4 linked regions of the Saccharomyces cerevisiae S288C genome follow. The gene in region 2 interacts genetically with the main gene of each other region. Each region holds a gene or a part of one and is shown on either strand. Other genes may lie near its edges.

Evidence for each region.
Region 1: mutations in PEX12 (region 2) and BUD31 together harm fitness less than expected from each alone (positive genetic interaction), as found in Saccharomyces cerevisiae (3 studies listed by BioGRID).
Region 3: mutations in PEX12 (region 2) and LAT1 together harm fitness more than expected from each alone (negative genetic interaction), as found in Saccharomyces cerevisiae (3 studies listed by BioGRID).
Region 4: mutations in PEX12 (region 2) and OAR1 together harm fitness more than expected from each alone (negative genetic interaction), as found in Saccharomyces cerevisiae (3 studies listed by BioGRID).

What each region holds. Positions count from the first base shown.
Region 1 is NC_001135.5:226,813-229,291, reverse strand, and holds BUD31 (U2 snRNP complex subunit BUD31), read right to left. Parts: upstream 975-2,479; coding exon 501-974; downstream 1-500. Other genes in the region: TVS1 (Tvs1p), read right to left, coding at 1,834-2,479. UniProt on the Saccharomyces cerevisiae protein: Involved in pre-mRNA splicing. Important for bud site selection.
Region 2 is NC_001145.3:323,736-326,987, forward strand, and holds PEX12 (ubiquitin-protein ligase peroxin 12), read right to left. Parts: upstream 1,701-3,252; coding exon 501-1,700; downstream 1-500. Other genes in the region: CSI1 (Csi1p), read left to right, coding at 1-452; YMR027W (putative methyltransferase), read left to right, coding at 2,142-3,252. UniProt on the Saccharomyces cerevisiae protein: Component of a retrotranslocation channel required for peroxisome organization by mediating export of the PEX5 receptor from peroxisomes to the cytosol, thereby promoting PEX5 recycling.
Region 3 is NC_001146.8:489,781-493,471, forward strand, and holds LAT1 (dihydrolipoyllysine-residue acetyltransferase), read left to right. Parts: upstream 1-1,742; coding exon 1,743-3,191; downstream 3,192-3,691. Other genes in the region: lysine--tRNA ligase MSK1, read left to right, coding at 1-336; ribonuclease H2 catalytic subunit RNH201, read left to right, coding at 537-1,460; TOM7 (Tom7p), read left to right, coding at 3,586-3,691. UniProt on the Saccharomyces cerevisiae protein: The pyruvate dehydrogenase complex catalyzes the overall conversion of pyruvate to acetyl-CoA and CO(2).
Region 4 is NC_001143.9:334,821-337,663, forward strand, and holds OAR1 (3-oxoacyl-[acyl-carrier-protein] reductase (NADPH)), read right to left. Parts: upstream 1,338-2,843; coding exon 501-1,337; downstream 1-500. Other genes in the region: TMA19 (Tma19p), read right to left, coding at 1-95; DNA damage-responsive RNA polymerase-degradation factor DEF1, read right to left, coding at 1,717-2,843. UniProt on the Saccharomyces cerevisiae protein: Involved in biosynthesis of fatty acids in mitochondria.

The sequences.
Region 1 (2,479 bases), on a different chromosome or scaffold from region 2:
GTTGATTTTTTTTTTTTTTGCTTCGAAATAAGAGGTAGTTTCGGTCAATAAAAGAAGCTCAAATAGTAGATGTAACTATAATAAAAGGGGGGAAAAGAATAGAATACGATTTAAAGCGTTGGAACCTCTGTTAAGATATACTCTATATGATTTTCAATTAATCATGCAACATATATTTAAAGTTTGAGAAGGATCAAAGGGCACCGTAAGGGAGGAGAAGAAGTAATTTTTTGATTTTAAATGAGGACGCGTTTTAGTCAGTGTTTCAGATCCTTATTACATCCACAGGTTTTAACGCGTTATCTTTGTTCCGAAAAAAAAAAAAAACGGAAAAATATATTTTTTCGCGTCGCGTTCTCGCGTCTGTTTTGTTTTTTCGCGTTCCAATGACCAAAATGGGAAAGTGGTCGTCTTTGACGAAGGAGACGAAAACCTCTTCTAAAACGTTGGGAGAGAGATAATTACATGGCCAGAACAATACTGCAACGTGCATATAGTCGTTAGTCTGTGCTTGCACATCCACGGCAGCCGCAGTGGACGCACTGATGGAAGGACACCTGTGTGCCCTTTTTGCGTGCTTCTTCCTCTAACTGTGCACGAGGCACCCTGCAGATGCAAGTGCTACCGTTGTTAGTTTCGTTCTTTTGAATGCAGCGCAGACAGCACAGTTTTTCATACCCGGTTTTGCGCCATTTGGCAATTAGCAATTTATCAGCATACTTTTCCTTTATCAACCAATCGTAAAGGTCTTTGGAGATGGCCTTTCTCTTGTAGTACAGAGTATATATGTATCTAGAGCGCTGGTGGTGGAGTTGCATTATCTCCCAGAGCTGCTCATTGGACTTTGCTGCGAGCTTAGACGACTTGTCCTTTTGGGCATCTCTGAGTTGGATTTCGAAATCTGTGAGGGTTGGCTTGATTTTTTCGAACCCGTCAGGTGCAGGCTTGGATCTTCTGGTCTTTATGCGCGGCATGTCGTTTTGTGAGGTGAGCTTTGCTAGTCTTGACGGCTGTAGAGGTGTTTACATTGATGATGAGTCCCTAAGAAAATTTTTCTTTTTTTTTCAGTATTTCACTTTCCGTTGTGAACGACAAATGTACTATGCGTTCAAGAGCCAACGCAGTATCATCGTCAAAGTTCCTACCACAACGCGTGTGATTGATCTTGTACTGGTTGTAAATGTGCTAAGTCTGTGACTGCAGTGAATAGGATTGTTTTAATCAACGATGTTATTTAAAAAAAATTAAACGACACCAGCAGGATTTGAACCAGCGCGGGCAGAGCCCAAGAGATAGCCGAACTTTTTATTCCATTCGAGTCTCTCGCCTTAACCACTCGGCCATAGTGCCATTTCGATTTGAAATTATGGTTTAAAGCGGTAGGTTTTATACATGTTTCTAGGCGTTTTTTCACAGATCCAAGACAGTAGAGCAGCTTGGCGTAGGTAGGATGGTGAGTAGAAAAACTAAAAAAAGAAAAAAGGAAGGAAGAACTTATTATACATTATGTAGAGTAACTAATTTTCATGTCTTTTGTGGATTATTTTACATTCTCAGAGAGAACCTCCAGTAGAGTCATTATACATAATATATTCACTTTTATCAGGTATGGGCCCTCAATAATCGTCATTGAACTCAATTCCAATGAGATCTTGCTTATTCATTTTTATAAATTTTGAGGAAGCGATAACGCATTCAGAATTGACTGAATGCTGGATAAACTAATAATTAAGAATTAAAAAGTAGGTGAGGAAAAGTAAAGCATATAAGCTTCTCACTCAAAGATGAGGGGGGGGTGAAAAAAAAAAGAAAAAAGAAAAGCCATTATGGCGGTTAAAGACTGGTTTTCCTGGTTTTGATGAGCCAGTCTTTCCAAATAAATAAAATCATTTCCCAAGCCATCAACAAAGAAACGAATCCAACACTGAGGTTGAAAGTGAACATGGGGGTAAACCCCCTATATTCCATGGCTTCAATGGACTGATCCGTGGACTCCATAAATACCAGACCACCACAGAGGAGACAGAACGAGGTGATCAACTCCGTGAAAGGCTTGGATGCGGCACTGTTGGTGTTGGGCACCAAAAACAGAATCAAAAATGTTAGCAGACGGAAGAAGGACCCATAGGACAACAAGTATCCCCATTGCGTGTGAATGGTAGTAGAAAATTGCGAGGACTGTGCGTGCTGGGACATCAGAATCCCAGTCCAAAATATGGTGAAAGCGGGGAACGGGTTTGGAGAGTACCCCGGTGTGGCAGCAACTACATCGGTCTGTGGCCGTTTGCGGGCATGCTCGAATCGCCAATGGTTGAGCTTGTACTCCGTGAGTAGCCCACACAATCCGGTTCCTATGAACATAAACGCGATCGACACATGCTGTAAATCCTTGGCAGTCCATGCGCCGCCGTTTCCTGCCAGGTGCTCCAAGAAGATGTTGGTGGACCCGTAAAAGAAAATGAGGAAGGATTCAACGAAT
Region 2 (3,252 bases):
GTTTAAAGGGTTATAAAATTGAAAATAGTGTACAGATAGGCGCGGAAATTATCCTTGATTTTCTACAAGATAAAGTGCAAATTAAGGATGTAAATGACAGATACCAAATTCCCACACCTAATAATACCGTAGACCCAGGTTTTGATGAGTTTCAATTAATTGACATGAAGGATAAAGAAATCAATATTCAAAAATATAATAATAATACCATAAGAAAATTACTCGAGAAGATTAATCGAATGATAATATTCTTGAAAAATTATGATGCCACTGACAAGCCTTTCTCTTCCACGCAAGATGTAATACTTCGAAAAATATCAATGCTTGTAACACAACTGCAAAGAGGTGGAACAAGTGACATGAATTACCTGCTGGATAACAAAATTAATGAAATAAAATTATTAGAAATTTCGTGTAAACAATGGGAAATTTCAAATATGTTAAAAAAATAACTAGAATATATATATTACACAGAATTATTTTCTTCACTTCCTCCGTCATCAGATTAGTAGCTTCCTAATACCTGTCACAACTTCCCATTTATTCGTGTGTTTGTTGTATGTACAACCCAGCAGCTTTTTATTGGTAACGGGACAATGGCCTTCATTATTAACCAAATAGCTTATGGCACACGGGTAGCATGCCACGTATCCTGTTTCCAATACACAGGGGTTTTGTACAGTTTTTTCGCAAACGGGACAGGCCTCAGAAACTCCCTCTTTATCTTCCGTTTTGTCACTATGTGAGGAGAAAGGCGGCCTTGGAATATCTTCATCCAAGTCATTGACCCTTTTCTGCAATTTAGTAGTCATGTCTTGTGTGGTCCACCATTGGTACACTCTTAGGACAAATATAAAAGTGGGGAAGAATTGCGAACCCATAAATGTTAAAAATCTGGGTATAATCGATAATTGTCCTTGCATTAGCGCGAAAATTGACGATATATTTGTTTTCCTTAGCCTATTATCCATCCCTTTCGTCTCTTTGAGACCAGAGAGTTCTGACGATAGTGGTCTTACCGTTGTGTACTCTATCTTGAATAAGTATTGCAACAAGGAAACCGACCCTGTTCTTTTAGTTAAAAATAATAATTTAACGAGTAAATTGGATAACGCTAATAATTTCTTAATAAATGGATAAATTCTTAGAAACGCTCTCTTGGGCCATTTATTTTCAGTTTCATCGCTGCTGAATATATTATTCATTGATATTTTCTCTAATATTTCATCCAACTTCGCTGTGATATAGGGGAGAATAATTTTTTCCAAAAAAATAACACTCTTTTGCTGTTGATTCAGCTGCAAACCTTGGGGCCATTCACTCTGGCCCTTTGGATTTAAACATTGTGTTAAGGCAAGATTTCTGTCCCTCGAACTAAATAGTTGCAATCCATAAAACCGATCAATAAACGTAGAATTGTATGTCTTTAGATGATACCATTCAACAAACCCTTTTATCGCTTGAAACCACTCAAAAAAGTACTTGTTCAGCCGCAAAGTATACCTGTTAGGGAAGTTCGCCACTAAATGATTTGCCAGTAGATAACGGATGGATGCGGGCAGTAACGAATCGATTTCTTGTGATGACATTATCTCAAAGATAGTCGGATACAATGGTTCTAATCCCACCCCATTTCGACCGCTTGTTGAAGACCCTCGACTAGATTGTCCTGCAGACGGTAGGTTTGAATAAAAGCTCATCACTTGACGACTACCTTCCTTTCCTTTGCTTTATTTTCCCTGCTTATTCCCTTGCTTCTTCTGGAGCCTTCATGCAAAACCGTTTCTCTACCTAATGTGATTCTGCGGTAAGCATTGCTCTTAAGCATCTGAATGAGACGAAAGGATGACTCCACACTAAATTGTACCTCTCTTCTCCAGTGACTGAATTGGAGGTTACCATTGCCAGTGACGGTAATCGTCCACATCGATGATTTCTTAGTATAACCCACACACCTCTCAGACATAGAGGCCCCAGGTGCAACGTGATAGTATAACTGCCCGGAAGTAGAAATACAACTATTCCCTTCATATTAAAAGAATAAAACTTCATTTGAACTCTTTAAAATTTAGTGGTTCATTGTGGTCCTTGTGTAAACGGAAAAAAAGGATATTACGGTAGTGGGTAGTACATAACAAGAGATGACTATCCCTGGAAGATTTATGACAATTGATAAGGGCACTTTTGGTGAATACACTGCTAGCACCCGTTGGCCCATTATCATTCAGAATGCTATAGACGATTTAAGTAAGCATCAAGAAACGGAGAAGAGTAACGGCACTAAGTTCGAACAAGGTGAAGTTATCAAAAAGGAGCTCAAGGAATTCCGTCAGGAGATAATTGATCGTGTACCTTTGAGACCCTTTACTGAAGAAGAGATCAAAATTGCCAACGTCCCGCTTTCGTTCAATGAATATCTAAAGAAACACCCTGAAGTCAATTGGGGGGCTGTAGAGTGGCTGTTCTCGGAGGTTTACTTGTATAGAAGAGTAAATGTTCTTTTCCAACGCCAATGCGAATGGGCTAAATTTGACATATTCAACAGACTTAAACAGTCAACTTTTGAGTCCTCGTTTTATGGTGTCGTGGAATTGGCGTTAAGGTATGAAAATCTGTTACCACAGCTGAGAGAAATGAAGCAAAATCCAGGAAATGAGATTGACGATATATTGAAAGTTCTTTTTAAAGAGTTTATTGAGATTTCTTTGTGGGGCAATGCCACTGATTTATCTTTATTGACCAACGCTACGTTAGAAGACATTAAATCAATCCAAGGGGCGAAAGCAAGAGCTGCATCCGAGTCCAAGATTGTTGTTAATGACACGGAGAAAGCATGGGAGGTATTAACCAAAGCCAGGGCCGATGCCAATAGCAGAGAAATTCGTGTTGATTTTGTATTAGACAATTCTGGCTTTGAATTGTATGCTGACTTGATGTTGGCAGCTTTTCTGTTACAAAGTGGTTTGGCTACCAAATGTATTTTCCACGCTAAAGACATTCCATACATGGTTAGCGATGTTATGTTAAAAGATTTTGATATATTAGTTCATGACCTGAGAGATCGTGAGTTCTTCCCAAGTGGTGAACCCTCGACAAAGGAATCCAGAGCTCTTGATTTATTTGCTGGTGAAATGGAAAAGTTCGTCTCTAGCGGTAAGATAGAATTCCGCGAAGATTCTTTCTGGACCACGGAATTAGATTATTGGAATTTGGACGCAAACGAAACCAAATACCATGGATCCATTTTGCACA
Region 3 (3,691 bases), on a different chromosome or scaffold from region 2:
GCCAAGACGGATCCGCAAAATAAGCAAGTCACGAAGAGATTCGAAGTCTTCATCAAAGGTAAGGAATACATCAATGCTTACGAAGAGGAAAATTGCCCCCAATTACAACTGCAGAAGTTTCTACAACAAAAGCAGATTAACGAATTGACAGGAAACAAAACTGAGACCTTATCGCCTGTTATTGACTACCAGTATGTTGAGACGATGAAATACGGTATGCCTCCAGTAGGTGGCTTTGGCCTTGGCATAGATAGATTGTGCATGCTATTTTGCGACAAGAAGAGGATAGAAGAGGTTCTGCCCTTTGGCTGTGTGGATGATGTAAACAGGCAGTAAATTTTGCGACGCCTGCCAATGCTTTTGTAAATAAATCAGACATATACTGTAAATAATTAGAATGGCATTTAATTTTTTTTTTTTCTCTACACCAATAAACTACGCTACGCGAAAAATCCAATATAAATATTCAGTTATAGCTAATGAGAGTGTCGAAAAACCTTGAAAACAACTACTGCACACCAAATTGATACGATTAAATGGTACCCCCCACGGTAGAAGCATCCTTGGAGTCTCCTTACACTAAGTCGTACTTTTCACCTGTCCCAAGCGCGCTCTTGGAACAGAATGACTCTCCAATAATAATGGGTATCGATGAAGCTGGCAGAGGGCCCGTATTAGGGCCAATGGTCTACGCAGTAGCCTATTCTACACAGAAATATCAGGACGAAACTATAATCCCTAACTACGAGTTTGACGACTCTAAAAAACTTACAGATCCCATCAGAAGAATGCTGTTTTCCAAGATATACCAGGACAACGAAGAACTAACCCAGATCGGCTACGCAACTACGTGCATCACTCCGTTGGATATCTCTAGAGGAATGAGCAAGTTCCCACCGACGAGAAACTATAACTTGAATGAGCAGGCGCACGATGTCACAATGGCACTCATTGATGGCGTGATAAAGCAGAACGTGAAGCTCAGTCACGTGTATGTGGATACTGTTGGACCACCAGCGTCCTATCAGAAGAAACTGGAGCAACGATTTCCTGGTGTCAAGTTTACGGTCGCCAAGAAGGCAGACTCGCTCTACTGCATGGTCAGTGTGGCGAGTGTCGTTGCAAAAGTGACCAGAGATATACTAGTCGAATCCTTGAAGAGGGATCCCGATGAGATCCTGGGTTCTGGATACCCCTCCGACCCGAAGACAGTCGCATGGCTGAAGCGCAACCAGACAAGTCTTATGGGCTGGCCCGCCAACATGGTAAGATTCTCATGGCAGACATGCCAGACTCTGTTAGATGACGCCAGTAAGAATAGTATCCCTATCAAGTGGGAAGAACAATATATGGACAGCAGGAAGAACGCCGCACAAAAAACCAAGCAATTGCAGCTCCAGATGGTCGCTAAGCCTGTTAGAAGGAAGAGGCTGAGAACCCTAGATAATTGGTACCGGTGATCACCTCCAGTTTGCACATACTATATATCTTCATGTAATACTACATATGTCATAACTTCAATAACTCATACAAGTCATCTGCTACTATGCTTTGCCGTTTCTACTATCCGTGAAGCGTGACCGGCCCTTCTCACCCCCCGTGTTACGCAAAGAACAACAAGAGGTCGAGACAACCAACCGGAACGACTAGAAGAGAGGCTGTTACGTTTCCTGTTTGTTCACGCTCAACATCTTCCATTGCTGTAAACTGCATCCAGTAAAATTAATAGTTATTAGCGTACTATGTCTGCCTTTGTCAGGGTGGTTCCAAGAATATCCAGAAGTTCAGTACTCACCAGATCATTGAGACTGCAATTGAGATGCTACGCATCGTACCCAGAGCACACCATTATTGGTATGCCGGCACTGTCTCCTACGATGACGCAAGGTAATCTTGCTGCTTGGACTAAGAAGGAAGGTGACCAATTGTCTCCCGGTGAAGTTATTGCCGAAATAGAAACAGACAAGGCTCAAATGGACTTTGAGTTCCAAGAAGATGGTTACTTAGCCAAGATTCTAGTTCCTGAAGGTACAAAGGACATTCCTGTCAACAAGCCTATTGCCGTCTATGTGGAGGACAAAGCTGATGTGCCAGCTTTTAAGGACTTTAAGCTGGAGGATTCAGGTTCTGATTCAAAGACCAGTACGAAGGCTCAGCCTGCCGAACCACAGGCAGAAAAGAAACAAGAAGCGCCAGCTGAAGAGACCAAGACTTCTGCACCTGAAGCTAAGAAATCTGACGTTGCTGCTCCTCAAGGTAGGATTTTTGCCTCTCCACTTGCCAAGACTATCGCCTTGGAAAAGGGTATTTCTTTGAAGGATGTTCACGGCACTGGACCCCGCGGTAGAATTACCAAGGCTGACATTGAGTCATATCTAGAAAAGTCGTCTAAGCAGTCTTCTCAAACCAGTGGTGCTGCCGCCGCCACTCCTGCCGCCGCTACCTCAAGCACTACTGCTGGCTCTGCTCCATCGCCTTCTTCTACAGCATCATATGAGGATGTTCCAATTTCAACCATGAGAAGCATCATTGGAGAACGTTTATTGCAATCTACTCAAGGCATTCCATCATACATCGTTTCCTCCAAGATATCCATCTCCAAACTTTTGAAATTGAGACAGTCCTTGAACGCTACAGCAAACGACAAGTACAAACTGTCCATTAATGACCTATTAGTAAAAGCCATCACTGTTGCGGCTAAGAGGGTGCCAGATGCCAATGCCTACTGGTTACCTAATGAGAACGTTATCCGTAAATTCAAGAATGTCGATGTCTCAGTCGCTGTTGCCACACCAACAGGATTATTGACACCAATTGTCAAGAATTGTGAGGCCAAGGGCTTGTCGCAAATCTCTAACGAAATCAAGGAACTAGTCAAGCGTGCCAGAATAAACAAATTGGCACCAGAGGAATTCCAAGGTGGGACCATTTGCATATCCAATATGGGCATGAATAATGCTGTTAACATGTTTACTTCGATTATCAACCCACCACAGTCTACAATCTTGGCCATCGCTACTGTTGAAAGGGTCGCTGTGGAAGACGCCGCTGCTGAGAACGGATTCTCCTTTGATAACCAGGTTACCATAACAGGGACCTTTGATCATAGAACCATTGATGGCGCCAAAGGTGCAGAATTCATGAAGGAATTGAAAACTGTTATTGAAAATCCTTTGGAAATGCTATTGTGAGGTTAGAATGAAAATAAAATTCGCCAGTAAATGCGTATCTTGGAGAAAATATCAATTTGTTATTTTGTATATATAAAAAATTAAAAAAAAAAAAAAAAAAATACTCAAATACTCAAATACGTATACATTATACTGAAATACTTCGCTTGTCTTCGAATCTAAATCCTCTCTCTCTTCTGTCTCAAAATGATATAAATAAATCACGTCAAACGGTGCGTCAACATCTTTGTTTTTTCACCTCATGTGGAATTGGTTGAAATTAACAAAGGAGTGGGATATAGGATATAACGCATAAAGTTTAGCATACTACTTTCGTATATTATTGTTCGGTGAAAGAAACTAGTTCCCTCTTATCTCTCAATATTTGCCAAAATTAGCTTTTAACAAATAAACCATGAGTTTCCTACCATCTTTTATCTTAAGCGATGAATCTAAAGAACGTATTTCCAAAATTTTAACTTTGACTCATAATGTAGCACATTATGGCTGGATCCCATTTG
Region 4 (2,843 bases), on a different chromosome or scaffold from region 2:
CAGTCGGCTTCGTAGATAACGTCATCAACTAACTTAGCGTCGTAAGCATCAGACAACAATTCGTCGTTAGAGAAGATATCCTTGTAAATAATCATATTTGTCTATAGTATGTTCTGTGTTAATCTGCTAACCGCAACTGAGACCCCAGAAAGAAAATTGTTAAAAAGCTAAAATGAAAGTAGTAAACCATTGAATGAAAACATTAACCAAAATAAAATTTTTTTTTAAGTCCCAATTGAAATACTTCTCCTTATAAATATCATGAAAGGAAGAAAAAAAAGTGAAAAAAAAAAAAAAAACCAATAAAAAAATAAAAAAATATCAATTCTACGAGAAATGCGTGCGAAATCGATGAGTTTTGTTTTGCCTCTGAAAAATTCTGGAAAATTTTTCTTAGCGGAAAAAAGAAAAAAAAGAAACGTGATGTGAAAATGTGTTCACTGAGCTCATCGATATACACATTGAACAGACACAAATCTATTATTTGTTTCGATTTTCTTTTACGTCTCCAAAGCAGTTCTACTGTATAGAGACCAGACTTCTTCCGCTATTTCAGCGGGTGCGCTTGTACCGCTTGCCCCAATGGTTCTCTCCAGCATTTCTTTAGCCTCCACTGGCAAATTTTGGATCATATCGGTCCCTTTGACTAAACCTGGAGATATCGTAAAACACCTAATGTTTCTTGGTTCCATTTCTGCAGCTAAAACTTCTGTAAATCTGGACAGTGCGGCTTTAGAGGCGGAGTAAACAGATGTACCTGGAACCTTCATTTTTCCGGAGTGTAGAATGGAGGAAATATTTACGATGGTGGGTCGAGCAGATTGACCACTGAGTTCCGGCCATCTCCTTTGCGACTTCATCATATACTTAATACAGATGTTTGTCATCGTCACAGGGCTCATAAAGTTAACATTCATTATGTCCTGAATTTGAGATGCAGTGGTTCTTACACTTAATGATTCTTGAGTCAAGCCTGCGCAGTTAATCAATAAGTTTACGTAGTAGCGGCGTTCATTATTTGACCATTTGTTACATGGGTCGAACAATGTGGAATATTTCTGTTTCAAGGGCGGTCTATCTTTGAAATATTCGATACCGTCATATGACTCATAGTCAAGCCAGTGAGGCCATTTCTTAAAATCAATTGCTATAGCACATTGCCGCTGATATGATAATCCCGATTGTAATTGGCCTCTATCTATCGCGGTGCGCTCTATACTTTCTTTAGTAGACCCAAGTATAATGCAACTTAAACCCTTTTGAAATAACTTTTGACATATTGCCTTGCCTATACCCCTAGTGGCACCTGTTACTATCGCAACAGGCAAATAATGCATTTCCAGACTTTTCTTCTCCCACGTCTATACCAATGTACTCATGTGTATTCCATAGTTCTCATCAGTTGCAAACAGTAACGGCGGAAATTTTGACGCTGTGATATATAAAACAGAAAAAGTGGCATTTCCAAAACCCCGCAAAATAAAGACACAGCTAGCTAGATAGATAACACAACATATATATACCTTTTATTATTTACGTACGTATATATATATATGCAAAATTTAAATGATATATGACATCATCAAAAGGATATGGAATCCTTGCCCAAACATTGAAGAAAGTAAAACATAATAGTGGTAATAAAATGTGTATTTAAATTCATTGTATTTTATTCCCCATTTCGTTTTTTATGTGGGAGGTTCTACTTCTCCCTTATTAGTAGAAACCTCTTGAATTTTTAGAATTGTAATCATAACCGTTGTAGCCATATGGTACACCTTGTTGGGCAGCAGCAGCGGCAGCGGCAGCAGCTTGTTGCTGTTGTTGTTGGAATTGATAGTATTGTTGGAACTGCATTTGTTGTTGTGGGTTAACAGGTTGGCCATTTTGCATTTGAACTTCAGGTTGGGGTTGACCTTGAGGTTGCTGTTGCTGTTGCTGTTGTGATTGCTTCTGTTGAGAGTCTTCAGAATGCTGGGCAACACCTTGATTTGGACTTTGCTGTTCCTGACCGTTTTGAGTTTGGTAATAGTTGTAATTGTTCTTTGGTAACTGGTATGGATATTGACCAGCTACACCGTATTGAGGTTGACCATATGGGAATGACTGTTGGTAAAAGTGGGCGTAGTATGGCATGAATGAGCCACCGTATGGCTGTTGTTGTTGAGGTTGGGCGTGAGCTGTAGCTGGAGAAGCGGCAGCAGCAGCGGCAGCACTAGTCAAATTAGCAGCAGCAGTGTTCGCGCCTGCTTGACCATAACCTTGTTGGAAATTATATTGGTTAGCATTACCACTAGTTTGAGCGTTGTTTTGAGCAAGTTGCTGATATTGTTGACCGTAAGCGTATCCTTGTGAATCAAACATACCTGGATAAGAATATCCAGGAAATTGGTTTTGATACATGTAGTACTGTTGGGCAGCCACGTTGTTCCCTTGTTTTTGACTTTGTGGACTTTGCTGTGATTGAGGTTGTTGTGATTGAGGTTGTGGATGCTGTTGCTGTTGCTGAGCATATTGTTGTTGTTGGGACAAATACTGTTGCTGTAACTGATGCTGTTGTTGAGCGTATTGTTGCTGCTGTTGTTGAGTATAGTAGTTTTGAGATAATTGTTCTTCTTGGGCTTGAGCTTGAGCTTGTACTGGTTGTTGTTGCTGTTGCTGTTGCTGTTGTAGTTGTTGTTGTGGTTGTTGTGGTTGCTGTGGTTGTTGTTGTTGCTGTGGTTGCTGTGGTTGCTGTGGTTGCTGTGGTTGCTGTGGTTGCTGTGGTTGTTGGGATTGTTGTTGTGGTTGAGGTACAGTATTAGCTTGATCTTCTGGAGGCTCTGAAATAACAGCACTAATTT